Linked DNA regions of Sus scrofa. The protein of the gene in region 3 purifies or fractionates together with the protein of the main gene of each other region. This does not show direct contact. Links are inferred from orthologs where the notes say so. Each region holds a gene or a part of one and is shown on either strand. Other genes may lie near its edges. The genes, in order: CDCA5, NIPBL, SMC3, REC8 and PDS5B.

Region 1 (5,708 bases), on a different chromosome or scaffold from region 3:
GGGATGGAACTTGTGTCCTCATGGATGCTAGTCAGATTCGTTTCTGCTGAGCCATGAGGGGAACTCCAAGACTAGCCAAGTCTTGAGTAAGGAGACAGCCTGGAGAGCAAGCAGTTATTTCAGGGGAAGCCAAGAAAGAGGGGCCTGCAGTACTATGGCCCCAAGAAAGGTGCTCTCAGCCCAGGCTGTAGTGTTGGGTATGGGGTCCACTGGTTATTTCCACCTGAGCAGTGAATGGAGTGATGGCACCCAGAGTAAATGGAACAGAAGCAGAGAGCAACTTTGAACATTCTTTCAAGGAGCTTAACCTTGAAAGGTGTGAGGGCAAAAGCTGAAAACAGGCACTGGACAAGACTCTCAGTGAGGATTAGGGCGGTTGTTTGTAATAATGAACATAAGACTTGTAGGAGAAAGAGGCACAAAGTCTCAGAGATGAGGGAAGTGGAGCAAAAGCCAACGCAAAGCTTGGCCTTGAAAAGAGCCCGCTCTCCCTCTGGGTAAGGGCAGGGGGTGGAAGTGGAGAGGTTTAGGGAGAAATGAAGGATATAAAGGCCTTGATTTGTTCAAAGGATGGAGCCAAGGACAAGTGTCAAGGATGAGGGGAAGGAGAGTGGCTCTGCCACGGGCGTCAAGCTGCATGTATGGCCCTGGGCCTCCTGGGAGACCTCCTGGAAACGTGTTTTTGTTTTTGTTTTGTCTTTTTGCCTTTTCTAGGGCCACTCCCATGGCATATGGAGGTTCCCAGGCTAGGGGTCTAATTGGAGTTGTAGCCGCTGGCCTACACCACAGCCCCAGCAACACCAGATCCAAGCCGCATCTGCGATCTACACCACGGCTCACAGCAACACCAGATCCTTAACCCACTGAACAAGGCCAGGGATGGAACCCACAACCTCATGGTTCCTAGTCAGATTCGTTAACCCCTGGGCCACGACGGGAACTCCTGGAAACATGCGCCTCTGACCAGCTCCCCAAGGGGCTCTATACCCACTGCTGTAGAGCACCCAGCTTGGGCCAGTGTGGGAGGAACTGGCTCCTTCACAGGAGTCTGACAAGAAGGAGCAGGGGAACAAGGGCTGGACTCAGGGCGGGTGGAGGGGCCAGGGCCAGGCACTGAGAAAAGCTCTTAGCAGCCTCATCACCCCAGACCCGACGGCTCTATTCCTGGGTCGGGAGGGCGTGGGGCTCCCCTCCAGGCAGCCCTGCCAGGAGCAGCAGGTAACCAACGGGATGGAAAATACAGACCTGGGGGTAGGGGTGGGGGCTCTACCACAGGGCAACTGGAGGCCAGGCTGGCAGCGCCCCCAGTGTACAGGGACAACAACCCTGGTGACACAGCCCGAAGAAAGCGTGGCTTCCTGGGCCCACACCACACCCTCAGCTCCAGCTCTGACCCAGCAAAAGAAACAGTCTATGAACAGGCAGCAACTCTTTAATTGATTGTTTAAAAAAATTTTTAAGACAGTTTTCCCTCAACTCCATTTAGTTTGTCAGGGGCAGAGAGAAGTCTGCAGATAGGACATCAACTCAACATCATTTGACTACTCCTGATTCTGCAGGACAGACACCTCCCAGGAACCGTCCCGCCGCCAGCCAGTGAAGACAAGGTTCCTCGGGTGTGGTCAAGGGCATCTGGGCCCATCCTGGCAAAAGGGCTTGCTTATGGCGTCTGACAAAGCACCAAGCGCTGGACAGGTGGCCGGGGACCGCTAGGCCCCACCGAGTTTAATTAACGCCCACTAGGCTCGAGCCATTTCAGGTACCCTAACACGCAAGTGCTCAGCTTCCCTGATGCCCTCTGCGGTCTGCGAGCCCCCTGCCCCTTAGCCTCTATGTCCATGAACCTGCACACGTCAAGGGCACCGTGGCCTGCACGATGGTGGAAGTTGTAGTTGGACAGCCTTTGAAAGTTCACCTTTTGTCAATATTGAGCAAAGAGAAACAGGGGCTGGGGAGGGGGGATCCCCAGACAATGAGATGACCCCCCTCCCGCCCGAGTTCAGCCCCTAGCACCTACCTCAGGCAGTGCCCTCATGTGAGAGGATGCTCAGGACGCTGAAACTTAAACTGCTCTCCACCCTGGCCCCTTTCCGGCCCATGAGAAAAGCTTCCTAGAACCTTATAAAAGACTAATGTCACCCAGACCATTCAATCCCTACGTTTTTCTTCCAGAGCTGAGCAGACTAACAAACAGGTGTGAGTGACAAGAGGGACCCCTTCCGGCCCTCTGCTGGCATCAGTCCGAATGCCCTGAGCCTCAGGTTCTGTGGCATCTGGAGGCACCTTCTTTGCCCCAAGCAGTCAGTGCCACACCAGCCTGGCGCTTAACCGAACATCCCAACAGCAGAACACACAAAACTATCGAACACAGCTTCTATGTAGTAAACGTGTACAGTCTGAGACCCAGCCAAGTCTTCCCTTCCTCCTTCAAAACTCAAGACTCCATAGGCTGCGTGTCCAGCTTCCTCCTTGGAGAGAACAGCCTCCAATCCACGGGGACAGTCCTCCTGGACCCTCTACAGAACCTAAGAGGATACCCGAGCCTCGTGGCTGGGAACCAAGCCCCAGTAGCGGCAACTCAGAAGACAAAGCCTGAGTCTGGCTGTGGCCCTCAGCATCCATTTCTGGTGGGGCTGCTGCAAAGCAGACACATTTCCCAACAAGAGCACAGATGCTCTCTTTCACTCTCAACTCCTGGCCCTTTAACCTCCTCTGGCTGGGCCTGTGAGTCCTACTCCCTAGTCCGTGGCCCAGCTGGAAACCAGCTGGGATGCTCCAGGAGGTAGGAGGGCAGAGGGTCGTAGGTCACCGACTACAGACAGGACACCAGTGTGTGGCTGGGCCAGGTGGGCCCCGTTTCCTGAAGCTAAGACGGCCCAAAGGACAGGCCTTGTGTGCAGCAATAGCACGTGCACGGGTAACAAAACCAAGGGAGGGGACCCCAAGGGGCTTCTCCACAGGGCGAGGGGATTATGTACAGGGGGAAGAGGGCAGCGTGGCCAGGTACACCCCCATCTCATCTCATTCAACCAGGAGATCAAACTGCTCAGCAGCTTCAAACTCAGCATTCATGGCCGCAGCCCATTCATCCAGCTCCGATTTCTGGGGGAAGAGAGATGGGGGGGCAGGTGAGTGGGGAGGGGAGCACATTGGCTAGAGCGCCTCGTCCCAGACCCTGGAGGCCCTGCCTTTCCCCCATAACAGCCAGGGCTGAGCCTCGGCCCTGCAGTGCCTGGCACATCTCCCCGTGCCCCTGCCCCTCACTCACCAAGATCTCTGGCACCTTCCTCTTCTTCCGTTTCTCCTTCACGGCTGGTGGCGAGATCCCAGGGAGCGTCGTGTCTGGTGCCCAGGGCTTCACAGGGACCCTGGGGACCTCAGTTAACTTTGAACCCACCACAGGTGAGACTCCAGCCAAGTCTTCTGTGGCCAGCAGCCCCTCAAAGCCAAAGCAGGACCGGCGGCCCGGGGTGGAGGTGGAGGCGGAGCCAACAGTCTCCAGGCGGCTGTAGGATCGCCTGACTTTCTTTGACATTTCCAAGTCTCTGGCGTCCAGGTCTCCTTCCCCTGAATTGGACTCAACGTTCAGGGAACACAGCACAGGAGTGGGGGTGGGAGTGACAGGGACACTGCGTGTCTGGAAGAGGTCCTCCCTAGTAGGCTCCTTGCTAGGAGGGTTGTTTTCTTTCTCCAAGAAAAACGCGATCTGTACCAGGACAGGAGAGAACGCCTCCCTGTTAGTTGTTCTACTTCGAGAAAGGCCTGATTTAGGGCGGAAAGACCGACCCGGGGGCACTTTAGAATGGAAAAGTGGAGGGAATTCCCGTCGTGGCTCAGTGGTTAACGAATCCGACTAGGAACCATGAGGTTGCGGGTAAATCTGACTGGGAACCATGAGGTTGTGGGTTCGATCCCCGGCCTCGTTCAGTGGGTTAAGGATCCAGCATTGCCATGAGCTGTGGTGTAGGTCGCAGACGTGGCTCGAATCCCGCGTTGCTGTGGCTCTGGCTGGTGGCTACAGCTCTGATTAGACACCTAGCCTGGGAACCTCCATGTGCCGCGGGTGCAGCCCTAGAAAAGGCAAAAAAAAAAAAAAAAGAAAAGTGGAGATGGGTCAGGAAATACATCAGACCAGAGACAGATGTGGGATGGGGAAGAGACCAGCCGGTCACTGTTCCTGAGTCCACTTTCGTGCCCCAAGAGGACCGGCCACCACCCCTTGGAGCCGCCGGCTCTGGCTCTAAAACATGACTGCAATCTACCCACCTGTGACGGGTGCCCCGGTCCCTGTCCCTCCGGCTCAACACCCTCCTCGCCGCCCTGCCCACTCTGATCCGTTTGTCTCACAGCTGGTGATGATTTTCCTAAAATGTCCACCCAGCCAATAAGTTCTTAATGGTCACCTGCCAGGCACCGTTCTGGGCACTGGGAGCCAGAAGGGAGCAAAACAGAGAAAACCTGGCTCCATGGAGCTTCCACTCTAGCGGGGGAAATAGGTAACCGGGAGAGTCATATCGTCCATCAGAGGCATTAAGCACCTTGGGAAGAGAGAGAGGAGGGGAGGGTGCCCCGGGAGTGGGCTGGAACTCGGGTAGGTGCAGGGCAGCGGAGGCCTCACTCGGGTAGCACGTGAGGTATGACTTGAAGAGCTGAGGGAGTAATTTAACTGGGAGGGAGGCAGGGAGAACAGAAAAGTCCTGGGGTGAGAGTGTGCCAATCGGGGTCAAGGAACAAGGCCAGCGTGGCCCAAGGGAGAAGTGAAGAGAGGACCCGAAGATGCAGCTCAGGTGGTAATGGTGGCGTCGGAGGCGCTCTGTGGCCACAGTAAGGGGAGACCCATGGAGCCTCTTGCTCCGGGACCCAAGGAGCCACGGGAAGGGTGGGAACAGTGCCTAATCTGACATGAGCATTAAGAGGCTCACATATTGGCTCCTCGTAATTCCGATCTCAGCTCAAATGCTGCTTCCTCAGGGAGGCCACCCTCCCCATGGACTGGAGACCAGCCGTCCTCACCCCTGCCAGTTACCCTCCGTCACAATGGCCTCTTTCCTGGAGGCCGCTCTGGCTTAGCACACTCCCTGCCAAGGTCGGCTGCAGTCACACCAAACAAGCCACTGCTCCCCAAACCTCGTGCTTTTCCTTGTGGACTCAGATAGTCCATCACTATCTCATTTTCGCTGTTCACTGGTTGACTGTCACACCCAATTAGACTGTGAGCTTCACATATGAGCAGGGCTTTCCACCTGTTGGACCTTAACCTTGCCTGTGCCCATGTCTAGCGCCTTCAGCGGAGCCCTGCATGCAGCAGGTGTTCAATAAATGCTCACTGAATTAACTTATGCAAAACGTGGCACTGAGTTTCCTGACGGCCAAGGCAAGGAGAGAAAAAAGACAAATTCAGTGACACTTTTGGTCTAATAAAGTTATATTTGGTTATCAAGCCAGTTCCTGAAACTACCATGACCCTGTAAATCAATTATCCTTCAATAAAATAAAAAGTAAACTGATTAAGAGAGGGGGGAGGGTTAGTTCCTGGTACAAGCTCTGGGGAATCTGCCCCATGAGTCTAAGTAAAAGGGATGTTGAACAAAATGAGGGGTCACTGACTACTTCCTCAATCCCTACAGCTAAGCAGTCATCCACGTCCTTGCAGTTTTTTGGGGGGCTCAATTTCATGAATCTATTATTCGACCAATAAGAAAGAGTGG
Region 2 (5,896 bases), on a different chromosome or scaffold from region 3:
TGGAATTGTGAAAACCCAAAATAGAATTGTTAAAGTGTGTAATTACTAATAATAAACTGTTAATGACATATAAGACATGTTAGTTGATGATCATTCCTAGGCTTGAAGATGGCATGTTTATTTTTTAAATTTAGAGACATACTGTGCATCAGGCTATATTAGGGTAATATTATGACTAAAAATATTTTAACCATAAAGATATTATTTTTGCATTTAATACACTGCCTGAACTATAGGCGGAAGATATTTTTAAAAACTTAAAGGTTTTATAAATATTATGTTGACTCCCCACTCCCATTCCCCCTTGGCAAGGAAGAAACATGGTGATGGTAAAAAGACTGGGAAGATGACAGAGTAGGATATGAGAACAGAACTGATTCCGAGCCAATCCTGTAAAAGCTATACAGCAAAATACAGACAAAGAATAAACAGACATGAATAGGTCTTTGGATCATAACAAGAACTACATAGTTGTCAGGGTAGAAAGAATTATTAGAAACTTCAGGGAACAGTTGAAAATTATGTAACTCTTGTGCTATATACTGGTAGGAACATAAAAGATGAATACACAATTTTAATCTGCACACAAAAACCTTTTCTAACATGGTGGTAATAGAGTCTATTCACTCAACAGGAATTTAATGTGCTTTTTATGTACTAGGTATTATGCTAGATTCTAGGGATATACACATATCCCCTGAGAAATAAAATTAAATACAACAATGTCACTTTACATTTAAAATGTTCATACAAAAGACAAAAATAAATACTAGGAGTCATAAACCTATAGCCCTACCACTCAAAATTTATCAGCTTAAGGCATATTCAAAAAATTTAAAATTACCCTAGATGGAACTACAGACTCTCATATTAAGTGAAGTGAAGTCAGAAAGAGAAAGACAAATACCATAGGATATCACTTATATCTGGAATCTAATTCATGGCACAAATGAACCTATCTACAGAAAAGAAACAAACTCATGGACATGGAGAACAGGCTTGTGGTTGCCAAGGGGGAGGGAGAAGAATTGGAATGGACTGGAAGTTCGGGGTTAGTAGATGCAAACTACTGCATTTGGAGTGAATAAAAAATGAGATCCTACTCTATAGCACAGGAAACTATATCTAATCATTTGTGATGGAACATGATGGAGGATAATGTGAGAAAAAGAATGCATCTATATGTATAACTGGGTCACTTTGCTGTACAACAGAAATTGACAGAACACTATAAATCAACTATAATACAAAATTTTAAATAAAGTCACAAACTATAACTTGTCAGAAAAATTTACCTGAGAGAATATTTTAAATATGGATATCAGGTAAAATATTTAAACAACGAAACGCTATAGCTCTTCCAAGAAAGGAAACGTACCATGAATTTTGGCCCTAGGAATCAATGACAAAGTATCCCGGCAATATTCAGTTTTTGCTTAGGAAAACACCAATGTATCTGAATACGTCATTTTCTGTAACTATCCAAAGACAATCCCAAGTAATGTGCACTATGAAGTAGTAATCCACAACTGGCCCTTTCTATGTATGTAATTTTAAAAATCCACAATTATGTACCTCTGCTATTGCTGAGTAGCAGAGATCTAAAATAAAGCTAAAATTGGTACATTACTGAAAAACAGTTGTTAAAGCTATGGCATAAATAAAGCCAAAAGATATCTATGTGGGATCATGAAATGAATCTAAGCACTGATGAAAAGGTTCACTTTTTATATTTGCATACATATTAATATGTGTATTTACATACATGCACATGCTTACACACAAACATCATATTCTAACAGGCAGACACACCCAGATTAGTTACTAACACCAACATATCAAGTATATACATTTGTGTTAAAGGTATATTTAGGAGAAACAGTGGATTAGTATCAAAAAGTTTATATTCACAAGCAATGAAATCATATGTGAAAAAAAAAAAAACAGGGGCAATAACACAGCAGTTACTAATTAAGAGCTATATTCATTTCTTGATGTTCAGCTGTAAGGATTCTTTGTTAGAACAGAGCTCAGAAAGCGAGGCTGGCATAAGCTGACAGAGGGCAGGGGAGAAAAAGATGGTCCAGATGAAGGGGACAAGAGGGTACCACTTTCCATCTTTCCAACTGACTTTTCTAAAGTTGTGTAATTATAGTCTTAAGTTTAAATATATATATAAGCCACTCCAAATTTTCATGAAAATTATTAAAGACAATCTTTATCTAAAAGAAAACAATTATAGTGCTAACCACTACATTCTAACAAATTCTTTTACATAAACAATTCTAAAAAGAGGCGTTCAACTTAAAATACTAAAGACTATTAACCAATTAAAGCTAGAGTTTTAATTAATTTCCACAGGCCTGACTGGCATAATTTAAAATCTGAAAGCTTCAATAAAATAATACAAATATTAATGACTCAGAGGCAATCTTTTCATTTTTGAAAGACAAAACTGAGTGAATAGTGAAAAAAGCAAACATTTGAGAAGACCATCTAAGAATAAAGACAGATTAGTCATGAAAAGTTATTTCTTTGAATAAAGAGTTCTAAGTAGTAATACTGTTTTCAATGAGCTATTTTTAACAGAGAAGGTATAACAGCATTCTACAAAAATACCAATATACCTTCTATATCTCCTAATACACTGCAGTAGATCACAGCTTTCTGTGATGATGCATATGTTCTCTATCTGCAATAAGGGAAGCAACTTGTCATATATAGCTATTGAGGATATAAATTTTTAATTTTACATAGTTTAAACTATATACCAATCTATTTATATTGCACAGGCTAAATAAATCTTACCATACAGCATCATCAAATTACGTGTGTGGTGTGTGTGTGTGTGTGTGTGTAAAAGACAATATATAAAGGAACACAAAATTATATTTTTTGTACAAACTGCCACTGTACAGAAAATATTCAAGCATTTAAGACACCCCCAGAAACAATATCACTCAAGTAACCAGAGAACTTAGAAATCATGCCAAACCCTTTTCCCCCCAAAAAAACAAAAAGACAAAAACCACCCAAACAAAAGTACCAAAAAGCCTTACAAATTGATGACTGAAGTCAATTTAAGAAGGTTAAATTCCATTTCCTATGACTTTTCCATAGGAAAGGGCAAAACTATTAAAAAAAAAAAAAAAAAAAAAAAAAAAAAAAAAAAAAAAAAAAAAAAAAAAAAAAAAACTATTGCAACTTTCAAAACTAATGAAACAATTAAACAGGAAAAAAACCTTTTCTCTGTGTACCAATAGTAAAATCACAACTATGGTGAGAAGTTCAAGTAGAGTGGGAAAAAAGAATTTTCACGGAAAACTTTTTATCTACATTACTGTAAATAATTCACTGTTGTTTTATATAAAAGTTTTATTTTCATATAGTAGTATTGATTTTTGTAAATTTCCCTTTCAGAAAAATCCATAGTAACCCTAAAAATCAAAAGAAAACTGATTAGAATACAGATGACAGAATAAGTATTCTTACCTTTATTTGATTTTGATGGTTTATTCTTGATAGGTTTAAGGGAACTTCTTGATTTATCCTCTCTATCTTTAATAAGTTTCTGAACATCATCCAAAGACAGTTTTTGCAGAACAACTACAGGCTTAGCTCCTTTATTTAGATCTTCAACTAATCCCATTTTTTCTACTTTGTCTTTCTGCTCTCCTTTCATTTCCATTTTCTTTGTCTCCTGAGTAACATTGCCATCTTTATCCCTCTTGATTTTTGGAATGACAAAATTTTTCAATGCACCAGACCTGCCCCCCAACAAATAACTTGGAAATTCTGCCTTATTGTCAGGGTGCGTTTTATTACTGTCTATTTTACTCTTGTTGCCTTCTGTCCTTTTGTCATCTTTACTATTTGGTGATTTAAAACCAGGCTTATCAGGTCTTGATTTATTAGAATCTCCTTGTTTAACACGAGGACTGTCAGGTCTTGATTTCTGCTCCCCAGAAGACAGTCTTTCCCTTGAGTCCCCTGATTCATGTCTGTGTTTTCTTTCTAGTTTATCAGGTTTTGAACCATCAGATTTAATGCCATGTTCATTTCTACTAGAGGATCTCAATGTTTCTGGTCTTCGAACCCTAGATTGATCACCTCGATGTCGCTCAGATTCACTCCTGTCATCTGACTTTTGTTTACTATCATGGTCACGTCTTAGTGACTCAGAAACAGATCGCCCATCAGGTCTCTGCTTTAAGGCTTCAGCTCTTTCTGATTTTAACCGAGGTGAATCGGATTTAATATCCTGTTTATGTTTAGACATTTCAGGTTTTTTCTCTGTTGATGGTTTTCCAGGATCCCTCCTATTTTCATGTCTATGTTTTGGTGTTTCAGGACGACCTTCATTTTTTTGCTTTGGAGTTTCAGGTCGGCCCTCACCTTTCTGCTTTGGAGTTTCAGGCCGTCCATCGCCCTTTTGCTTTGGGGTTTCAGGACGCCCCTCACTCTTTTGTTTTGGAGTTTCAGGTCGGCTTTCACCCTTTTGCTTTGGGGTTTCAGGTCTTGACTTTGCTGTTTCTGATCTACCATTATTTTGTTTGTTGTCATTTGGTTTTGTGTCAGACAGTCTATTTTCATTCTGTTTAGGCTCGGCTGTGGTGCTCTCATTTTGCTTGGATTCAATCGTTCTGCTCTCATTCTGTTTAGGTTCTTCTGTTTGTATCTCAATTTTAGTATCTAACTTACTTTCACTAGATTTTGTCTCTACCAATCTGTTTTCATTTGGTTTAGATTCTGCCAATCTACTTTCATTTTGTTTCATTTCATTCTTTGAAAGCTCAGGATCAGACTTTTTTTTAGGAGTCTCAGGATGGTTTTCTGGTGTAGATTTAAGATTTCCAATAATATCTTCCTGAAGAACAGAAATAGGTGCATCATTACATTGTTTGATTTCTTCAGGCTTTTTTATGGAGTCTGAATCCTGAGTTACAGAAGCCTGAGAGTCCACTCTTCCTGCCTGATGAAGATCAATGCTAACCATTAATGCTGGCCTTGACCCATTTCCCGTAGAACCCGTCTCCTGAGAAGCTGGTCTATTACCTCCTGTAGCACCCCCAGCCTCCTGTGGGTAAGAATCTTGTTTTCTTTTTTTCAAAGGCTTATCTGAAATTCAAAGATAAATATTCAGTATCAGTAATAGACAAATATTCTTATCTTATTAAAAACCTTATGGACTTTGACTAGTTTCTAAAGTCACAATGTTTTTCAAATGTGGTGAATGCAAATGTCAACAGACATATATAAAATAGTAAGCACGAATGGCATAATACTTTTCAAACAAGGTTTGAGGAAGTATTCATGCTTGCTGTACCTCAGTAGGTATTAGTGACTATAGTAAAAAGATCATTTAAACTGCTAAGCTAGTAAAAACTACAAAGAGCTCCAAATCTGCCCACATACTAAACAGGAAATTAAACTTTTGCCACAAGTAAGAGAAGTATGGAAAAGAATAAAACCTAAAATAAAATAGAAATCATGCCACTGAAAAAAAGGTGAATGAGGAGAGTAATAAAGAAAAAGAAAAATTTAATAGTTTATTATTAATCCAGGATTCAAATTCTTCAAGGTGTCAACAGCACAAATGGAATTTAAAAGCTAACACACAGAAGCATATTTAGATAAGGAAAATACAAGTATAGAAATGAGAAGCATATAATAAGAACTTTTTAGATAAATCCTATCTCAAGCAACTTCAACTGAAGAAAAATGCTTCAGCTCTTCAACATAAGGTCTAGGGGGTCTATATATTGGCTCGGTAAGAAATAATTTACAGTATTCCACAATATAAAGACAAAATACACACAAACATAAATCTATCACTTTAATTAAATGTCATGGTATTTTTAACAGCTAGGTATTTCTGTGCATGATTCCACTTGAC
Region 3 (5,896 bases):
CAGTGCTGATTACATTGTGCAAAGCAGCCTTTTGCGTTTTAGTGTATTCCTAAGTCTCCTGTGTTCTTGTGTATGTGTGGAAAGGGGGCAGTATGGAAAGTATGCACTACAGTGTTTTGAGAATTTATTAATGTGTTTTTTCTTCTTTTAGAGTTATGTGTTAGAGAAGTAGTAAGGTCAAAGTTAGTAGTGGTGAACAAATTAATTGTGTTTATTCGTTTATATGCCTGTTAAGCCATTGCCACAATTAATATAAACTTTTCATCACCCCCAAATAATTCCTGTTCCCCTTGGTAATATCTCCCTTGCTTCTTTCCTGTCCTCCTCCCCCATCCTCTGGTAATAACTGATCTGCTTTCTGTCACTATGGATTACTTTATATGAAGGTGGATTTTAAATTTGAGTTGTTTTTATTTTCATAGAAACTTGATCAGGATCTTAATGAAGTCAAAGCTCGAGTAGAAGAACTGGACAGAAAATACTATGAAGTAAAAAATAAGAAAGATGAATTACAAAGTGAAAGAAAGTTAGTATAGACTGAAATATTCTTTATTTTTTTTATTTATTTATTTTTTTGTCTCTTTAGGGCCACACTCGTGGCATATGGAGGTTCCCAGGCTAGGGATCTAATTGGAGCTACAGCTGCCGGCCTGCGCCACAGCCACAGCAGTCGAGATCCGAGCCTTGTCTGCGACCTGCGCCACAGCTCACGGCAATGCCAGATCCTTAACCCACTGAGTGAGGCCCCAGATCAAACCCACAACCTCATGGTTCCTAGTTGGATTCATTTCTGCTGAGCTATGATGGGAACTCCTTCTTTAATATTTTTTTGAGTAATACTTGTTACTGGCTGTTAAGTGGTATTTAAGTTATAAATTATTAAAATTTAATTTCAGTACCTACTCAAAATTGTATACTTTTGGTGCATTGTCTTAATGCTTTTAAAATTAAAGACAGTCTAATTTTTATTTATTAGTTACTTGTGGCGAGAGGAGAATGCAGAACAGCAAGCACTTGCTGCTAAAAGAGAAGATCTAGAAAAGAAACAGCAACTTCTTAGAGCGGCAACAGGAAAGGTTCGCAGGTTCTTTTCGTTACCTTAGTTTTCATTGAGTCAGTTATTGGACAAGAATGTATTAGCTTTGAAGAGAAGACTGCAAATTACTTGTCTTATGAAACCATGGGTATTATTTAAGTACATTTGCTAGTAAAGATAGCACTTTTCATTTTTAATGCGAATGTCGGAACATATAAGATATTGCACGTAGTTGGCATATTTCAAGGGAGTGACCTGTTTTTGGAGAGAGTGTTTAATCTAGTATATTTTTTACTGTATAGAGTAATGAGTTCTTACCAGCAGAAGTACCATTGGCAATATTTTAATATTTTTCACTTCTAAATAGGCCATTTTAAATGGAATAGACAGCATCAACAAAGTACTAGACCACTTTCGTCGAAAAGGAATAAACCAACATGTTCAGAATGGCTATCATGGTATTGTGATGAATAACTTTGAATGTGAGCCTGCTTTCTACACATGTGTGGAAGTCACTGCTGGAAACCGGTAAGATTTTTTTGTTGTTTTGAATTTTTAAAGGAAAGAGGGAATACGGGTAACCCAAGAAACAACTCTTTGTAGTTTTACTACATTATGTCTCCCAATATCATCCTGTATCCTTAGTTACTCATTTTTTTAATTAAAGATATACATGCTAAGTGTTGTTTCTAACTGTAAAAGCTAAAATTTCCCCTTTTTGTACTTTTTCACTCTCGATTGGATTTGCTCTCCCCCATACAAATAAGATTGCATAGAAAAAAAGTAAATTGTTTGCTTAAATGTTTACAGCACTTTAGACGTGTTGTTCTGTTTACATGTAGGTTATTTTATCACATTGTTGATTCAGATGAAGTCAGCACGAAGATTTTGATGGAGTTTAATAAAATGAACCTTCCTGGAGAGGTTACTTTTCTGCCTCTTAACAAGTTAGATGTCAGGGATACTGCCTATCCTGAAACCAATGTGAGTTGATGTGTGTTAAAGTCTGCCTTTCTTTCAGTAAGTTTTTTCTTGTGTTTAGCACATGCTAGTGCATGGGCACTATACATTGGGATTCACATGGTCTGTGAGATAAATAGGCCTTTCTTACTGTAGAGCATAGTCAGTGCTGGGTGAAGAAGGGAAGGGAGATAGAGATAGAGGTCCCAGCCAAGACATAAAACAAGCCATTTTAAAAAGCGGAAACTGTTAAAATATATTAAGTACAGGATATGTTGAGAGTGTATCTTAGATAAAGTTAAGATTAAATAGTTGGAAAAGAATTTCCTGAGGAACTATCACTTTAAAGTGAATATATTAAGGTTTTCCGAATATACTTTTTCAAATCGTTTAAAGTTAGAAGTGTCTAGCAAGATGATAGAGTCTGAAAGCATAATGTTGCTTTTGATATTAGTGGCTATACTTTTTAAACAGATTAAAAATATTCCCTTGTACAAGTCAACCTTGTAAATTAACTATACTTGAATTAAAAATATTCCCTTAGATATCATTCTTGAAAAAATGTAATTGCTTTTAGGTGTTTGGCTTCAAAATGTTGATAGTAGTAGCAACTCTCACTATTTTTTAAGGTTAAAGCTAAAATCCTATGAGAATGATCTACAATTTAAAAGGAACAGTGAGAGTCTTATAAGCTGTTTAATTGGTTGACTTTTTTTTTCCTTTTAAATCTATAAATTGTCTTTGAAGTTTTAGAATAAATTGAGTCATATGTGATATGTGAATAAAGCAAGACACAAAAGAATGCATGTAGTATGATTCCCTTTTTACTAAAAAGTAAACTTAGTATGATAGAACAAGAAAGTGCAAGGACGCGATTACCACAAAAGTTATAATAGTGGTAACCTCTAGCAGGTAACCATTAGAAGTAACCACTGTGATTAGGAAAGAGCTACACACATGGCTTCTGGATGTATTTTCTTTCTTGTCGTACATGGTGGCTATATTGGTGTTCACTTTGTAATTACTAATTTAGGCTTAACATATTTATGGTATTTTTCTGTATGTAGAATGTATTTCCTAATTTTGAATTCTGTTCTGACAGTTTAGGAGAGAGGGGAAAAATTTTATTTGAAAAGTTATTTTTCTGAATATCCAACTTAGATAAAAATAAAATGAAAATATTTTGAGGAAACACTAGTAGTTTACATTTAGCCCTTCTATTTGACAGGTGCTATCCTAAGAGTTTCACATATATAACTCACCTAGTCTTTTTTGGTGTGTGTGGGGGGAAGCACAGGTGCAGCATATGGAAGTTCCCAGGCTAGGGGTTTAATCGGAGCTACAGCTGCCAGCCTACATCACAGCCACAGCAGTGCCAGACCTTACCTGTGTCTGTGACCTATACTCCAGGTCATGGCAACACTGGATCCTTAACCCACTGAGTGGGGCCAGGGATTGAACCCACATCCTTATGGATACTAGTCAGGTTCACTTCTGAGCCACAGTGAGAACTCCGTAACTCACCTTGTCTTAACGTTGTCATTAAGGTAGTATTTTTATTACAGTTTTGTAAATAAAATAACTGTTATATAGAAAAGTTAAGTAGTTTGTCCAGAGCACACATCTGAGTGGCAGAACTGGGATTTGAACTTGAGCAGTCTGGCTCCAGAGCCACTAAGGTCTTTATCACTGTGTTCTAGTATTGAAAACCTGGATGATTTACATGAGCACAATTTCTAAGATTTTTCAATAGAGTGATTTTTCTAACATTTTCAGTGTTTTACCAATCATATGGAAACATTAATATAAAAGTATGAAGACATTTGTGTTTATTTGTATTTCATAAAGATGTTATTCATAATTCTGCTAAGACATTTTAATTGTGTTATGGTCTCTTTGTTAACAAAATATTCATTTTTCAGGATGCTATTCCTATGATAAGTAAATTGAGGTACAATCCCAGATTTGACAAGGCTTTCAAACATGTGTTTGGAAAAACACTTATTTGTCGTAGTATGGAAGTTTCAACCCAGTTGGCCCGTGCTTTCACAATGGACTGCATTACCCTGGAAGGTTTGTAATAATTCTTAACTTTGAGTAAATAGATTCCATTTTAGTTTTAAGAGTGTTTGAAATTCATGTCCATTTATTTCTCATTTTTAATATAGTTGGTTTATCCAAATTTATTCAAGTATAATCATTTATTCTCTAGTAAGGTTTCTTAATCTTTTTTGTACCATGAACTCTTTTTGGTTTTTGGTGAAGCCTATGGACCCTTTTCAAAATATTTTTGAGTATATAAAATAGCTTTGGATTACAAAAGACACCAGTTACATTGGCATTGTTATTTTTTAAAATATGTTAGTAATTTATTCTTTAAGGTATTCAAAAATTTTGGAGTTCCCCTTGTGGCTCAGTAGAAACACATACAACTAGTATCCATGAGGATCGGGTTCAGTCCCTGGCCTCTCACAGTGGGTTAAGGATCTGGCGTTGCCATGAGCTGTGGTGTAGGTTGCAGGCAAGGCTTAGATCTGGCAGTGCCATGGCTCTGGCGTAGGCCAGCAGCTTAGCTCCAATTCAACCCCTAGCCTGGGAACTTCCATATGCTGCAGATGTGGCCCTAAAAGGAAAAGAAAGGAAAAAAAACCATGAGATTTAGCAATGGTTCTCCTAAATTTTATCAGAATTTGGGTTAAAAACCTCTGGTATATTGGTTCGTTCACCTTCGTTTTCTGTATTTTCCTTCTCTTTGTAGTTTGTTAATGAAAGAAGCTTTACCTCTATATGTTTAGAAGTTTTTGTTGTTTTGAACCATCTGAAAATAAGTCATAAAAATTGTGAAACTTCATCTCTAAAAGTTAAGCATGTGTTTCCTAAGAATAAGGACATTCTCCTTTATAGTCATAGATCATTGTTATAGCTAAGAAATTTAATATTAATCCAATTACATCATTTAAAAAGTACATTCAAGTTTTCTTAATTGTCCTAAAATATTTTTCTGTCTAGGATCCAACAAGGATGCATGGAATACTTTCTCTTTAGATTCTTTCAGTTTCAGTACAGGACAATTCCTCCTATTCCTTCCCACCCTTAGAAATTGACTTTCTTGAAAAAAGTTTTGTTTTCTGGATTTGTCTTATTCGATTCATTAGGTTTAGGATAAGCATTCTTGAAATGAGTGATGTGTACTTCCTATTGTGAACACAAAGTGTGCACTGTCACAGATGCCTACTAGCAAATCTTGGTTGTAAAGAAGCTTTTTCCCCTTTGTAATCAGTAAGTGGTATGTGAGATTATCCTTTGAGAATACATCAATATTAGGTTTTCCAAAAACTTGTTTTACCAGTGGTTTAGCATCCTTTGGTGACCCTTGCCTGACTCGGTTAATACATTGAGGGTTTCAAAGTGGTGATTCTTAAATTCCATGATTGCTTTCACTATTATGTAAAGAAGAGCCCTGTCCTTTTTTTAATGTATTATTGTGATTTGTGGATTTTTAATTTTTATTCAGTGTATTCACACATTGCCATTATTATTTCTGATTTTTAAATTTTCCCAAGTATGGCCAGTAGGAATTCTAAGCTAGGGCTTGTGTCCTGTTGACTTGTTCCTATTAGTCTTCAGCACTTCTTTCCTTTATGGTAGATATTCAAGCTCACCTAGAAGGTGTATTTTTTAAATGCACTTTTTCATATTGGAAAGCAAAATTTTTTCCAAAGTGGCTTAAACTTTTAACTTAGTAATTCTAATTAAATAGGTAAAGCCTTTACATTTGTCATTTGATTATTAATTTATTGTTGAATAAAGAAGTTATTATACAGAATTACTACCTTTCTTTTGTTTTTAGGTGACCAAGTTAGTCATCGGGGTGCTTTAACTGGAGGCTATTATGATACA
Region 4 (6,627 bases), on a different chromosome or scaffold from region 3:
CTACAACCTCCTGGTTCCTAGTCGGATTTGTTTCCACTGCACCATGATAGGAACTCCCATACTTTTTCAGATTCTTTTCCACTATAGGCAGATATATATAAGATAGAGAATATGGTTCCCTTTGCCATACAGTATATCTTAATTTTCCCTCCCTCCTCTTTCTGCTTTTGTAACCATAAGTTTGTTTTGTTTTGGTTTGGTTTTGGTTTTTTTTGTTTGTTTGCTGGTTTTGCTTTTTAGGGTTGCACCCTCGGCATCTGGAAGATCCTGGACTAGGGGTCAAGTTGGAGCTACAGCTGCTGGCCTATACCACAGCTCACAGCAATGCCGGATCCCCAACCCACTGAGCGAGGCCAGGGATCGAACCCACATCCTCATGGATACTAGTCAGATTCGTTTCCATTGCACCACAAAGGGAACTCCCGTAAGTTTGTTTCCTATATCTGTGGTCTGTGAGTCTTTTTTACTCATGCATCTCTCTTTTTTTTTTTTTTTAATTTTAAATGTATTTTTCACAGTGGCACCTGCAGCATATGGACGTTCCTGGACCAGGGATTGGATTTGAGCTACAGCTTCATGGTGCAGCAGTTCTGGCTCCTTTAACCCACTGCACCAGGCCAGGGATTGAACCTACACCTCTGCAGAAACCCAAGCCACTGCAGTCAGATTCCTATTTTTTTTTTTTTTCAAGGCCATACCTCAGCATATAGAGGTTCCCAGGCTAGGGTTCAAATCAGAGCTGTAGCAGCCAGCCTACACTATAGCCACAGCAATGCCGCTAGATCCGAGCCTCATCTGCAGCCTACACTGCAGCGCAAAGCAATGCTGGATCCTTAACCTGCTGAGTGAGGCCAGGGATCAAACCTGCGTCCTCACGGATGCTAGTCAGATTCTTTTCTGGCTGAGCCACATTGGGAACGCCTGCAGTTGGATTCTTAATGCACTTAAGCCATGGTAGTAACTCCTACTCATGAATTTCTTGATGGATACTTAGGTTGCGTCCATGTTTTGGCTGTTGCAAGTAATGCTATGAAAATTTAAGTGAATGTGTCTTTTAGAATGAGTATTCATTTCTTCCAGATATATATACCCAGGAATAGGATTGCTGGATCATATGGTAGCTCTATATTTAGTTTTTTAAGGCACCTCCATACTATTCCCCATAGTGGCTGTACAAATTTTCATACTCACCAACAGTGTAGGAGAGTTCTCTTCTCTCCATACCTTCTCCAGCATTTATGATTTGTAGACTGTTTTATTTTTTTTTTTTTTTTGTCTTTTTGCCTTTTCTAGGGCCGCTCCCTAGGCTAGAGGTCCAATCGGAGCTGTAGCCGCCAGCCTATGCCAAAGCCACAGCAACTTGGGATCTGAGCCGCATCTGCAACCTACACCACAGTTCACGGCAACACTGGATCCTTAACCCACTGAACAAGACCAGGGATCGAACCCTCAACCTCATGGTTCCTAGTGGGATTTATTTATTTATTTATTTATTTTTGTCTTTTGTCTTTTTGTCTTTTGTTGTTGTTGTTGTTGTTGTTGCTATTTCTTGGGCTGCTCCCGCGGCATATGGAAGTTCCCAGGCTAGGGGTTGAATCGGAGCTGTAGCCACCGGCCTACGCCAGAGGCACAGCAACGTAGGATCCGAGCCGAGTCTGCAACCTACACCACAGCTCACGGCAACGCCGGATCGTTAACCCACTGAGCAAGGGCAGGGACCGAACCCGCAACCTCATGGTTCCTAGTCGGATTCGTTAACCACTGCACCTAGTGGGATTTATTAACCACTGAGCCACAATGGGAATTCCTAGACTGTTTGATGATGGCCATTCTGACTGGTATGATACGATATGACATTGTAATTTTTATTTGCATATTTTCGTTTCTCTAACAATTAGCAGTGTTAAACATACTCTCATGTGCCTATTGGCCATCAGTATGTCTTATTTGGAGAAATGTCTTTTTTTTTCTCTCTTTTTGGCCACCCTCTGGTGTATGGAGTTGCCAGGTCAGGCATCAAATCCAAGCCACTGCTGTGACCTCCACCACAGCTGTGGCAACTCTGGATCTTTTAAGGCACTGTGCCAGGCTGGGGATTGAACCTATGTCCTAGAGCTGCAGAGACACTGCAAATCCCACTGTGCTACAGTAGGAACTCTGAGTGGCTCTTTAGGTCTTTAGGTCTTCTGCCCCCACCCCCCCAACTTTGCCACACCTGCAATGTGTGGGTGTTCCTCTGTCAGGGATTGGATTGACCTGAGCCACAGCAGTGACAATGCCTTATCTTAAACAGCTAGGCCACCGGGGAACTCCTGCCCATTTTTTGATTGGGTGATTGTTTTTTTGATATTGAACTGTATGAACTGTTTTTGTATTTTGGAAATTAAGGCCTTGTCATTTGCATCATTAGCAAATATTGCCCCTCAGTCTACAGGTTGTCTTTTCCTTTTGTTTATGGTTTACTTTGCTGAGCAAGAATATATATACACATTCTTTTTTTCACACTATCCTCCACCATGTGCCATCACAAGTGATTAGATACAGTTCCCTGTGCAATACACCAGGTGTCTCATTGCTTATTCACCCCAACGATAGTTTGCATCTACTATTTGTGTTTCGTTAGGTCCCATTTATTTATTTGTGTTTTATTTCTTTTGCTTTGGGAGACTGCCTTAAGAAAATATTGCCGTGGAGTTCCCGTCGTAGCTCAGTGGTTAACAAATCCAACTAGGAACCATGAGGTTGCAGGATCGACCCCTGGCCTCTCTCAGTGGGTTAAGGATCCGGCGTTGCCATGAGCTGTGGTGTAGGTCGCAGACGTGCGTTTCTGTGGCTGTGGCGTAGACCAGCAGCGGTAGCTCCAATTGGAAACTTTCCTAGCCTGGGAACTTCCATATGCTATAGGTGTGGCCCTAAAAAGACAAAAGACCACCCCCCCCAAAAAAAAAACAAAAGAAAATATTGCTGTGATTAATGTCAGAGAATGTTTTGCCTGTATTCTCTTCTAGGAGTTTTATGGCATTATGTCTTATATTTAAGTCTTTAAGCCATTTTATTTTTGTGTTAAGAAGTGCTGAGTATTAAAGAAGCAGAAGCGTGCCCTGGAGTCAAGCCTGGGGAGGGCATTCTAGCTAAAGAAATGACTGTGTAAAGGCAGGAGGTGTGGGAAAAGGGATATTCGTAACTACAACCATATAGCTTATATTACACAAAGAACTGTCTGAAACAAATGATTTTTGTATGCTGAGAAGTATGCCCTGCCTCCAACAAAACTTTAAAAGTCTCAACCAGGAGAACGTTCACACTGCAAAACAACCAGGTGAAGAATGTCCACAACCTAAACTGTTCAAGCTTAGGAAACGACGGGCCAGTCCTCTCACTGCTTCCTGCGGGATCTGATTTCTTTCCCATTGATCCGTGGCAGCTCCAAGGCCAACTCACACCCTTTCCACCTCCCCAGCTCATTACAGGCCCTAGGCTGGGCACAAAGGTGGACCAACCAATTGCTATTCGGTGAGATTTGGGGAAAGAGGCAACATCTAACTGCAGGTCAGGGTGCCAGGACCTGGCGGTTGCCCCGGGCATGACCTCACCTCCTGGATTTGTAAAGGCGCCCTCGTTGCCAGGCTCCCTGCAGGCAGAGGCTGGGATTTGCTCCTCGCTCATTCGTCAGCGGAGAAGCGCCTCCAAGGAATCCCTGTTACCAAGGTGAGGACGAGAGCCCATTGGTCGGGACATCTCACAATGGCCCCACCACCCCCAGGGTTCTTCCCATTGGTTAGCTATCTGCCTCGGGAGACCCCTGTTGCCTTGAACCCAAGTGGGCGGGCTGCTTGGTGGCCTGGAACTAGCGCCCCCAAGCTAACCCTGTTTTCCATTGGCTGTTCCCGGAGCTGCTGCCGTCTAATGAGGAGCGAAGGACAAAACACCCGAGCACGCGCTCCCTGCGGCGGGATCTAACCCTGCGGGAGGGGGACCCGGCTGGCACCGACGGGACCAAAGGTGTGCAGAGGCCGGAGGACACCCGATCTCCCTTGGACCCTGGTCTGGATTGCACCCCAGGCCTCCCATCACGGAGTTCTGAATCTCCAACCCGGAACCCAACCCAGAAGTCTCCAGTAAGTTCAAAGCACCCATGTGGCGTGACCCGCTTCGGGCCCGCGGAGAGGGAGACCCTACGCCAGTGTTTGCGTCTTCATTTCCTTATCCCTTTAGTCGTTTATCAGTTCATTTATTTGGCATTCTGGGTCCACCCTCCGCACCACCTGTTCACAGCCTTCTCTCTAATGCTGTTGGGAAACCCTGTGTCCTGAAGAATTCGGATTGAGATCCGAACGGAAGAGTGGTGGAGACGAGGGTGAGACCTCGGAGGGACCATGTTCTACTACCCCAGCGTGCTTCAGCGCCACACTGGCTGCTTCGCCACCATCTGGTAAGGGCAGACCAGGGCAGGCAGGGCTGGCCGGGAGGGGCCCCCACGGATCCCAGGCTGAGGGCTCCCCCTCCAACCATCCCCCCACCCTCTTTCCAGGCTTGCGGCGACGCGCGGCACCCGGTTGGTGAAGCGTGAATACCTGAAGGTGAATGTGGAGAAGACCTGGTAAGGCCCAGAAAAGGGAAGAGCGGCCTGGGGCCCGAGTGGGTTAGGGGATGGATTGGGCTGGTCTTTGGCATAGCGGCGATCGGGGCACGTTGTTCCCCCAGCGAGGAAATCCTCAATTATGTGCTGGTACGGGTGCAGCCCCCGCTGCCTGGTCTGCCGCGGCCCCGCTTCTCCCTATACCTCTCAGCTCAGCTCCAGATCGGCATCATCCGGGTCTACTTTCAACAGTGCCAGTACCTCGTAGGTAAGGCCAGGAAGGTTCTGAGGTGGGGCAGAGCTGCGTGGCCCTGGCCTGGGCAGGTTCTCTGCCTTATCCTTCCTGCCCACAGATGATATCCAGCATATTCTGGAGCGCCTGCACCGCGCCCAGCTGCAGATCCGCATAGACATGGTGGAGACTGACCTGTGAGTGTGCCCCTGGGACTAGGACCATCCGGCCTTTGCTGGCAAACCTCCCTGCTTGGCCTCAGCCCATTTCAGCCTCAATCCCCTTTTTAAAAAAAATTTTTTTTTAATTTATTAATTTTTTTTTATTTTTTGCTTTTTAGGGCTGCACCCACGGCATACAGAGGTTCCCAGGTTAGGGCTTGAATCAGAGCTGTAGCTGCCAGCCTATGCTACAGCCACAGCAATGCAGGATCCAAGAGATATCTGCGAACTACACCACAGCTCACAGCAATGCCAGATCCTTAACCCACTGAGCAAAGCCAGGGATCGAACCTGCGTCCTCATGGATGCTAGTCAGATTCTTTAACGGCTGAGCCACAATGGGAACTCCCAGCCTCAGCCCTTGACACCCCACATTCCCCCTCAGACCTAGCCTGCTTCTTCCTAACCATCTGGCCATAATGGAGACTCTGGAAGATGCTCCAGATCCCTTTTTTGGGATGATGTCTGAGGAACCCAGATTGCCCAGTCCCTTCGATATCCCTCAGGTAGGTCTCATTCCCCTGGGGCACCTTGGACTGATGAGTTGACAGTGCACAGGGGAGGGCAGGAGCTTGCTGCAGTCAGTGCAGACCCATCCAGACAAGCGTGATGCACTTATCTATTCAGGACCAACCTAGAGGCAGCCCTTATCTCCACTGTCTCCACACTGTTCCAAGAGTCAAGGCCTTAATCCAGGCGCTCAGTGTGCCTCAGCATTGGGTTTCCCTACCCACGTCTTTGTCCATCCATTCCTAACACCCCTACCACTTATACAGTGTTAACTCCCCTCCTTCAAAGACACCTCCAGCGGCTCCTCACTGCAAACAGAATACTAACATTTAAGGCTTTCCATCCTGGTCCAGAGGCAGCCATCCCAGATGCCTCTCAGTGCATCCCCTGGGCATCTTTGTCTCCCAGACACCAGCCTGGCCCATTTGCCACAAAGATGCCACATTCCCTTCTTTGTACTGTTTCTCTAGCCCATAATGGTCACTCTTTGTTTTCTTACAAACCTTGCTCAAATGCTACTCTTTTACATGAAGTCTTTTTTGTTTTATTTTGTTTTTAGGGCTGCACCTGCAGCATATGGAGGTTCCCAGGCTAGGGGTTGAATTGGAGCTGTAGCTGCCAGCCTATGCCACAGCCATACCATATCCAGGCCACGTCTGCGACCTATACCACAGCTCATGGCAACGCCGGATCCTTAACCCACTGAGTGAGGCCAGGGATTGAACCTGCATTCTCATGGATGCTAGTCAGATTTGTTTCTGCTACACCATGATGGGAATGCCTACATGAAGCCTTTATCCCACACCTGGCCAGAACCAAATGTTGTTCTGGAACTTACATATCACCTGTGTTTTATCCTTTGTGTTTATTTATTTTGAAGAACAAATTAATTTAAAAATTTATTGAATTATAGTTGATTTAAAATGTATTAGTTTCAAGTGTTTCAAGTGTTCAGCATCATTTGTGTTGACTCTTGCTGGGGTCATAACAAAACTCCTCTCCCACTAAACCATACGCTTTTTCTTCTTCTTTTTTTTTTTTTGTCTTTTAGGGCCACACCCCCGGCATATGGAAGTTCCCAGGCT
Region 5 (6,423 bases), on a different chromosome or scaffold from region 3:
TCTTTTAAAGATGCCTCATCAGTCTTTCCTCCACTCCACTTAGCTGCCTTACAAGTTTTGCACAGCTAAACCAAGTATTTCTAATTATTGCTCAGTACTGATGTCTAATCATTAGAGTTCAGTAACTATTGCAGATATTATAATTATCTCAGAAGAGCTTTAGATTTACTTCAAATAACTAAATTTTACTCACCTTAGTTTAATCTTCATGAGTTTCTCACTGAGCATGATCACCCCCACCAACTTAAACGATTACAGTTTCAAAGCAGCAAACTTACCCTTAATTTTGGCTTAGTAAGAAAAGGTTATAAAACCATTTTCAAGTATTGGGGAAAATGGTTATCAACAGGCAGTTCATAACAGTATAGTGTAAAGAAGAACTGACCTCTCCACTGCAAGAAGTGAGAATTTCAAATCACCTGGCAGCTTCTTAAATAAGCTTAAAAAGTAAATATGTTCTCAGAGAAATTACTGGATTTCTTTTTAAACTAAGTATTTTTGGAATTTTCAACATTCCCAAACAGGAATATTCATATCAAATACAATTTCCCCAAGCACCTACTGTAATTGGAAGTGACAAATGACTTGCATAGTAAATTGAGTTTAAAAGTTTAAAAGTTAAAAAAAAAAAAGGAGTTCCCATTGTGGCGCAGTGGTTAACGAATCCGACTAGAAACCATGAGGTTGCAGGTTCAGTGCCTGGCCTTGCTCAGTTTCCGTGAGCTGTGGTGTGAGCTGCAGATGCGGCTCGGATCCCGAGTTGCGGTGGCTGTGGTGTAGGCCGGTGGCTACAGCTCCAATTAGACCCCTAGCCTGGGAACCTCCATATGCTGTGGGAGCGGCCCTAGAAAAGACAAAAAAAAAAAAAAAAAAACCAAACCTCACACATGCACAGACATATACATCTTATAACAAAATAAAGTTCAATACTAACTTCCAAACTACCCTGGCTTAAAAGTGTAACAAAGAATAAATAAATGCCTTGTCAAGTATTTTTACCCAATGAAAGATCAAGCGGCTCCAGGAGACAGACAAGAAAGAGGTTATCTTCTGAGATAATTTAAGTGGACTGAATCCTGGATAGACGTTATCAACCAGACTCTGTGTTAACCTCGAAACTCTATTTCTTGGTTGAATGAATGAAAAAGGGAGGAGGGGATAGAAAATAAGATGCTATCTGGCAATAATTTTAAATATTGCTTAAATCCTGAATAAAACAATACAGACCATGTGGATGCTTCTAAGCCTCCAGGAGATCTAAGGACTACCCCAATTCCACCATAAGGATATAACTGTGACTTTGGCTAAACCATTCAAATTATAATCTGAACTAATGTCTCATGCATATGATAAGTGAGGTGGAAATCATCTATGTTTCCTTATAGCTCCCTAACACTAACAAAGGAAACACAAATCTACTCTTTTGAGTATATATACAGTACTTGTCATCAAAACCAAATCACTGTAAGCTCTCCTGTAGGTTCTAGGCACACATGATGAAAAAGTAGCACTAAGGAAGCCACAGGACAATCCTACTACTCAAAGAGGGAGAAGCAGAAAGAATACAATCTTCCAAAATATTCCCCCTGACACAAAGTTTTGGTTACCATTTACTTTTCACCAGAGCAAGCCCTAATATAGAGTATTGCTTTATTTTAGGCCTAACCAATTATTGATAAAGCCTAGTCCTCAAAACATAACTCTTTGTGACTGTTAAAGTTTCAAAACAACTTTAAACTTAAAAATGTTATCCAAAATCCAACTCAGTACAACTACTTATCAAATAAGCTAGTACAACATCCCATGACAACAAGAATCACTATCATCACTTTATCTCCTCTAATTCTTGGGGAAAGTGATGGAAAAGAAAGCATAAGCATACAAGAATGAAAGTGACAAGAAGAGTAAAAAGCTACTGTAGGGGTGGGAATGGTTTAAAAAAATTAATTTAATAAAAAGCTTCTGTAAAAACAAAGTTAATGCATGGATAATCAACCTCAACAAAAGAAAAATAAGAAAGAGCACAAAAATTCTTCAAGGCAAAAAAAAAAAGTCAATACAAACACTACCATGTCATTTAAAATACACCTTCAAGTAAAACCCAGAGATTTTTTTAAACCATCAAAAAGGCAAAAATAAATAACTACTTCAGTAATCAAAGAATGTCTAAAACGCACCTTTTCTATATACACTTGTAAATTCATTTTGAAAGAATAATGTTCTGACTTAATTTTTTTACACCTAAGTTTTTCAAAATAAATCTATCTTAACATAAGAAGTTTCATGTTGAAACTTTCACCTATATATTCACCACTACAAATTTTAATTAGGTTTTCTGCTACTACTCAGTGATACAAAATTAACTGTTCCACAAACTGACCTGCATACACCATAAGAATGCTCATTTTACGGTTCCTAAAAATGCTAACATTTCTGACATATGCAGTGCATAGATAAGTGTCTTTTCTAACCCTTATTTTGCTTAATACCATTTTTGTGTTTTTAACTATTTTACTTGACTACTGTATAAGTTAGAACAGAAAATACTCTATCTTGGGACTTCACATACATATGCTGAGAACAATGATTATACATACTGCCATCGAGGTTTTGGGTTTTTGTGGGGGGGTTTTGCCATTCAAGTTTTAAATAATTATGACTCATGTACAGCTCGCCTCTTATATACATAAATAAACTTGGATTCTTAATGATTATTAGGAAGACAGCCGGTGACCCCCAAATCACTCAAGACCACAGACTAAACCTTCGAAATCAAAGGCTATATCCAAAATTTCCGAAATGGTTTAATAAACAGGGTTGGTAGGGTCGTTCAGGACAGTACCGTCCAGCCATCATTTCATAATAAAAGTATAAGAGCGTTCGAAGTACGTTTTTCAAAGTCAAATAAAGGGTTCTCTTTTGGAGTTGATTAGGATGCCCAAAACGCTCTTTCCAACCCTATCCCGAGTTTGCACGGGCCGCGGAGGAACGGAGGAAGCGGCAGTTCTGAAGCGGAGGTGCTACGTTTCTGGGTTCGGAGTCATTCCCTCGAATAACTGTACCAGGGCTTAGCGTGTCGCGGCTTCAGCGCATGTACCAAGAGGCAAAGCAGCACAGAACCACAAACAAGCTTTTTCTCCCGACCAGAAACTTTTCAGGTGTCAGTAAGATAACAGACTCAAAAAAACGTCAACCAGACACCGTTTGCACTGTCGTTCCAATTCCGAGGCTTCCTAAAGGAAAGCTAGGACTCAGTGGTCGCCAGGGAGGAGCCACTCCAGCCCGTCTGGACTCTTCCCCAACTAGGTCCTCGGGTGCCCCCAGCACCAGCTCCAAGAGGCGCGGTGAGCGCGCTTTATCTCTGGCGACTGGCAAGTAACCGTATAAAAATGTCACTCTATCGGCCCTTGTCGTCGCCCGGAGCAGAGGCTGCGCGGAGCGGGCCCGGCGCGGGGGACCCGGCCGCGGGGGCGGAAGGGCCGAGGCCCGCAAACCGCCCCGGGGTCAGCCGGGACCCGCGCTCCCCGCCCCTCGCCCGGAAGGGGGAAAACCCGCCCGCGGGAGGATTCAACAGGAGCGCCGCGCCGCCCGCCTGCCGCCCGGGAAACAGCCGCCGGCCGGCCGGGCGCGGGGGGGAGGGGCGGCGGCGGGGCGCGGGCTGCGGGGCGGCCGGGCAGCCCGGCAGCGGGCGCGGACCCCCGGCGCGCGCAAGGTCACCGCCCGCGGCCCGCCGCCTCCGTCGCCGCGGGCGCCCCGGTCGGGCCAGGGCGGCAAGTTTAATTTCCAGAGGCTGCGGCTGAGCCCACGGCGTGGAGGGAACACGGCGGCCGAGGGGCCCTCCCCACCCCCCACCGCACAGCCGGGCCCACGCCCCCGGCCCGCGCCCCACTCCTCCCGGCCCCGCCGCCGCCAGGCAGCCGGCGGCTGCAGCCCCCGATGCCTGGAAGCGAGTCTCGGCTGGCAGGCGGGCGGCGCTTGAGCCCCGCCACAGACACAGCCGCGGTGGCGGGCGCTGAAAAATGGAGCGCGGCGACCAGAGAGAAGAGACATTTTCTTCCCGTTAACTGAATTGTTTCCTACCTCCGGGTGCCCGACTCGTTACTCCTCTCACTCCGCTGCTCTCCGGGATCCGCCGCCGCCGCCGCATCCAATCGCCTCCTCCCCCCCTCCCCTTCCGCAGCCAGCCCCGCCGTTCCTCCTCCTCTCCGCTTCAAAATGGCGCCAAGAGCTCTTCGGCGGCTGCTCCAATCGAACCGCCGCGGACAGCACCGGGGGCAGGCAGAGCGCCGCGTGGGTGCGCAGCGCCCCCTGCCGACCGGACAGCCTCGCGCGCGTGCCCGCCGGCCTCCCCTCCGCCCCGCCCCGTGCGCCCGCGCGTGCCCGCCTCCGCCCCGCCCGTCGCGCGCGCACGCAGTCACACGGGCACGCCGCCGCTGTGACATCGAGACCCGGGGCTGTCAATGCTTTCTCTGCTTCTAAGGCTTCCTTGACTTTTGCCGAAAACCACGTAAATTGTTATATACCTCTACCTTTATGGATAAAAGTTGGGAATTTTTTAAAACAATGAAACAATACTAATATCGTGCTAAGTAAATAAAATTGATGTTAACTACTTTGCTCCTTGCTAACGCTGACCTAGTCATCTCAAAATGCCCTGAGTTGTTTTTGTTTTTGTTGTTCTTGCACTTTATATGTTATGTCTTTACTTAATCTCACAGCTGTCCCATTTTCAGGTATTGTTTAGGCGGTGGCTGCGAGGACATAACAAGTCCACCTGTAACAAAGCATTCCATTCATTTTATCACAATTGTCCTTATTACAGGGAGAAATAATCTGAAGAACACAAGGAAGTCTTCTGGGAGGTGGATTTCTAACCCCCTTCACCTCCAGGGGATGCCGCTCCTCACTTCTGCAGCTGTACTACGAGTATATTGAAAGTTCATCTGGGGTCCGTCGTGGCGCAGTGGTTAACGAATCGACTAGGAACATGAGGTTGCGGTTCGGTCCTGCCTTGCTCAGTGGTTAACGATCCGGCGTTGCGTGAGCTGTGGTGTAGGTTGCAGACGCGGCCGGATCCCACATTGCTGTGGCTCTGGCGTAGCCGGTGGCTACAGCTCTGATTCGACCCTAGCCTGGACTCCATATGCCGGGAGCGGCCAAGAATAGCAACAATAACAACAACAACAAAAAAAAGACAAAAAGACAAAAAAAATTAAAATAAAATAAAAAAAAAAAAGAAAGTTCATCTGGAGATTTACTATTAGGATGGAGAGAGAAAAAAAAATCTCTGAGGATTAAATGAAGCAGTTGCTTAAAAAAAAAAGGAACTATGTTGTATGCAATAGCAAATGGATTTACAGAAATTAGTAATATAAACCTTCATTTAAAGCAACACTATTTAGGGAAACAAATCTGAAGTTGGTATTAAAAGAAATTAGTATTAAAAATAAATGTCTGTCTTTAGGGCTTTAAAAAAACCGAATGTGAGGGGAGGGTGTATATGAGAAATCTCTGTATCTTACTCTCAATTTTGCTATAAACTTAAAATTGATCTAATAAAGTCCAAAAAATAAGCAAATTGTAGTTCATCAGGAGCAGTACAATTGGATGCAGCATAATTTAAGATAGATAAACCGGGAGTTCCCGTCGTGGCGCAGTGGTTAACGAATCTGACTAGGAACCATGAGGTTGCAGGTTCAATCCCTGGCCTCGATCAGTGGGTTAAGGATCCAGCATTACCTTGAGCAGTGTTATAGGATGCAGACTCTTCTCAGATCTGTCCTTGCTCTGGCTGTGGTGTAGGCCAGTGGCTGCAGCTCTGATTGGACCCCCAGCCTGGGAACCTGCATGTGCTGTGTGGGTGTGGCCCTAAAAAGACAAAAAAAAAAAATCAGTGGTGAGAATGATGAAAAAATTCTGATTTGCAGTTCCCATCGTGGCGAAGCGGAAACAAATCTGACTAGGAACCATGAGGTTGCAGGTTTGATCCCTGGCCTCGATCAGTGGGTTAAGTATCTGGCATTGCCATGAGCTGTGGTGTAGTTTGCAGACTCGGCTCAGATCTGACGTTGCTGTGGCTGTGACTTAGGTCGGCAACAACAGCTCCGATTAGACCCCTAGCCTGTAAACCTTCATATGCCTCGGGTACGGCCCTAAAAGGACAAAAGACAAAAAAAAAAAAAAAAAATTCTGATTTTATACAGACTTGGTTAAAAGAATTATCTTTGATTATAAAAAAAACCCCACAAATCTGGGAGTTCCCTTCATGGCTCAGCAGTTAATGAACCTGACTAGGTTCCTTGAGGATACCAGCTCGATCCTTGGCCTCGCTCAGTGGGTTAAGGGTCTGGCATTGCTATGAGCTGTGGTGTAGGTTGCAGACATGGCTCATATCCTGCACTGCTGTGGCTGTGGCCAGCAGCT

The links.
Region 1: the proteins of SMC3 (region 3) and CDCA5 purify together in Homo sapiens (affinity purification with mass spectrometry; 7 studies listed by BioGRID and IntAct, counting the BioPlex papers as one, with this or other methods). This does not show direct contact. The link is inferred for Sus scrofa from reciprocal best matches to the Homo sapiens genes SMC3 and CDCA5.
Region 2: the proteins of SMC3 (region 3) and NIPBL purify together in Homo sapiens (affinity purification with western blotting; 4 studies listed by BioGRID, with this or other methods). This does not show direct contact. The link is inferred for Sus scrofa from reciprocal best matches to the Homo sapiens genes SMC3 and NIPBL.
Region 4: the proteins of SMC3 (region 3) and REC8 purify together in Homo sapiens (affinity purification with mass spectrometry; 3 studies listed by BioGRID and IntAct, with this or other methods). This does not show direct contact. The link is inferred for Sus scrofa from reciprocal best matches to the Homo sapiens genes SMC3 and REC8.
Region 5: the proteins of SMC3 (region 3) and PDS5B purify together in Homo sapiens (co-immunoprecipitation; 7 studies listed by BioGRID and IntAct, with this or other methods). This does not show direct contact. The link is inferred for Sus scrofa from reciprocal best matches to the Homo sapiens genes SMC3 and PDS5B.

What each region holds. Positions count from the first base shown.
Region 1 is NC_010444.4:7,105,777-7,111,484, reverse strand, and holds part of CDCA5 (sororin), read right to left. Parts: intron 3,707-5,708; coding exon 3,269-3,706; intron 3,103-3,268; coding exon 3,022-3,102; 3' UTR 1-3,021. UniProt on the Homo sapiens protein: Regulator of sister chromatid cohesion in mitosis stabilizing cohesin complex association with chromatin. May antagonize the action of WAPL which stimulates cohesin dissociation from chromatin.
Region 2 is NC_010458.4:22,273,700-22,279,595, reverse strand, and holds part of NIPBL (nipped-B-like protein), read right to left. Parts: intron 5,119-5,896; coding exon 3,493-5,118; intron 1-3,492. UniProt on the Homo sapiens protein: Plays an important role in the loading of the cohesin complex on to DNA. Forms a heterodimeric complex (also known as cohesin loading complex) with MAU2/SCC4 which mediates the loading of the cohesin complex onto chromatin.
Region 3 is NC_010456.5:120,992,744-120,998,639, forward strand, and holds part of SMC3 (structural maintenance of chromosomes protein 3), read left to right. Parts: intron 1-422; coding exon 423-526; intron 527-976; coding exon 977-1,076; intron 1,077-1,403; coding exon 1,404-1,564; intron 1,565-1,878; coding exon 1,879-2,020; intron 2,021-3,918; coding exon 3,919-4,069; intron 4,070-5,846; coding exon 5,847-5,896. UniProt on the Homo sapiens protein: Central component of cohesin, a complex required for chromosome cohesion during the cell cycle. The cohesin complex may form a large proteinaceous ring within which sister chromatids can be trapped.
Region 4 is NC_010449.5:75,122,931-75,129,557, reverse strand, and holds the start of REC8 (meiotic recombination protein REC8 homolog), read left to right. Parts: upstream 1-2,944; 5' UTR 2,945-4,118; intron 4,119-4,275; 5' UTR 4,276-4,376; coding exon 4,377-4,432; intron 4,433-4,531; coding exon 4,532-4,600; intron 4,601-4,704; coding exon 4,705-4,847; intron 4,848-4,932; coding exon 4,933-5,008; intron 5,009-5,417; coding exon 5,418-5,538; intron 5,539-6,627. UniProt on the Homo sapiens protein: Required during meiosis for separation of sister chromatids and homologous chromosomes.
Region 5 is NC_010453.5:9,012,554-9,018,976, reverse strand, and holds the start of PDS5B (sister chromatid cohesion protein PDS5 homolog B), read right to left. Parts: upstream 4,284-6,423; 5' UTR 4,081-4,283; intron 1-4,080. UniProt on the Homo sapiens protein: Regulator of sister chromatid cohesion in mitosis which may stabilize cohesin complex association with chromatin. May couple sister chromatid cohesion during mitosis to DNA replication.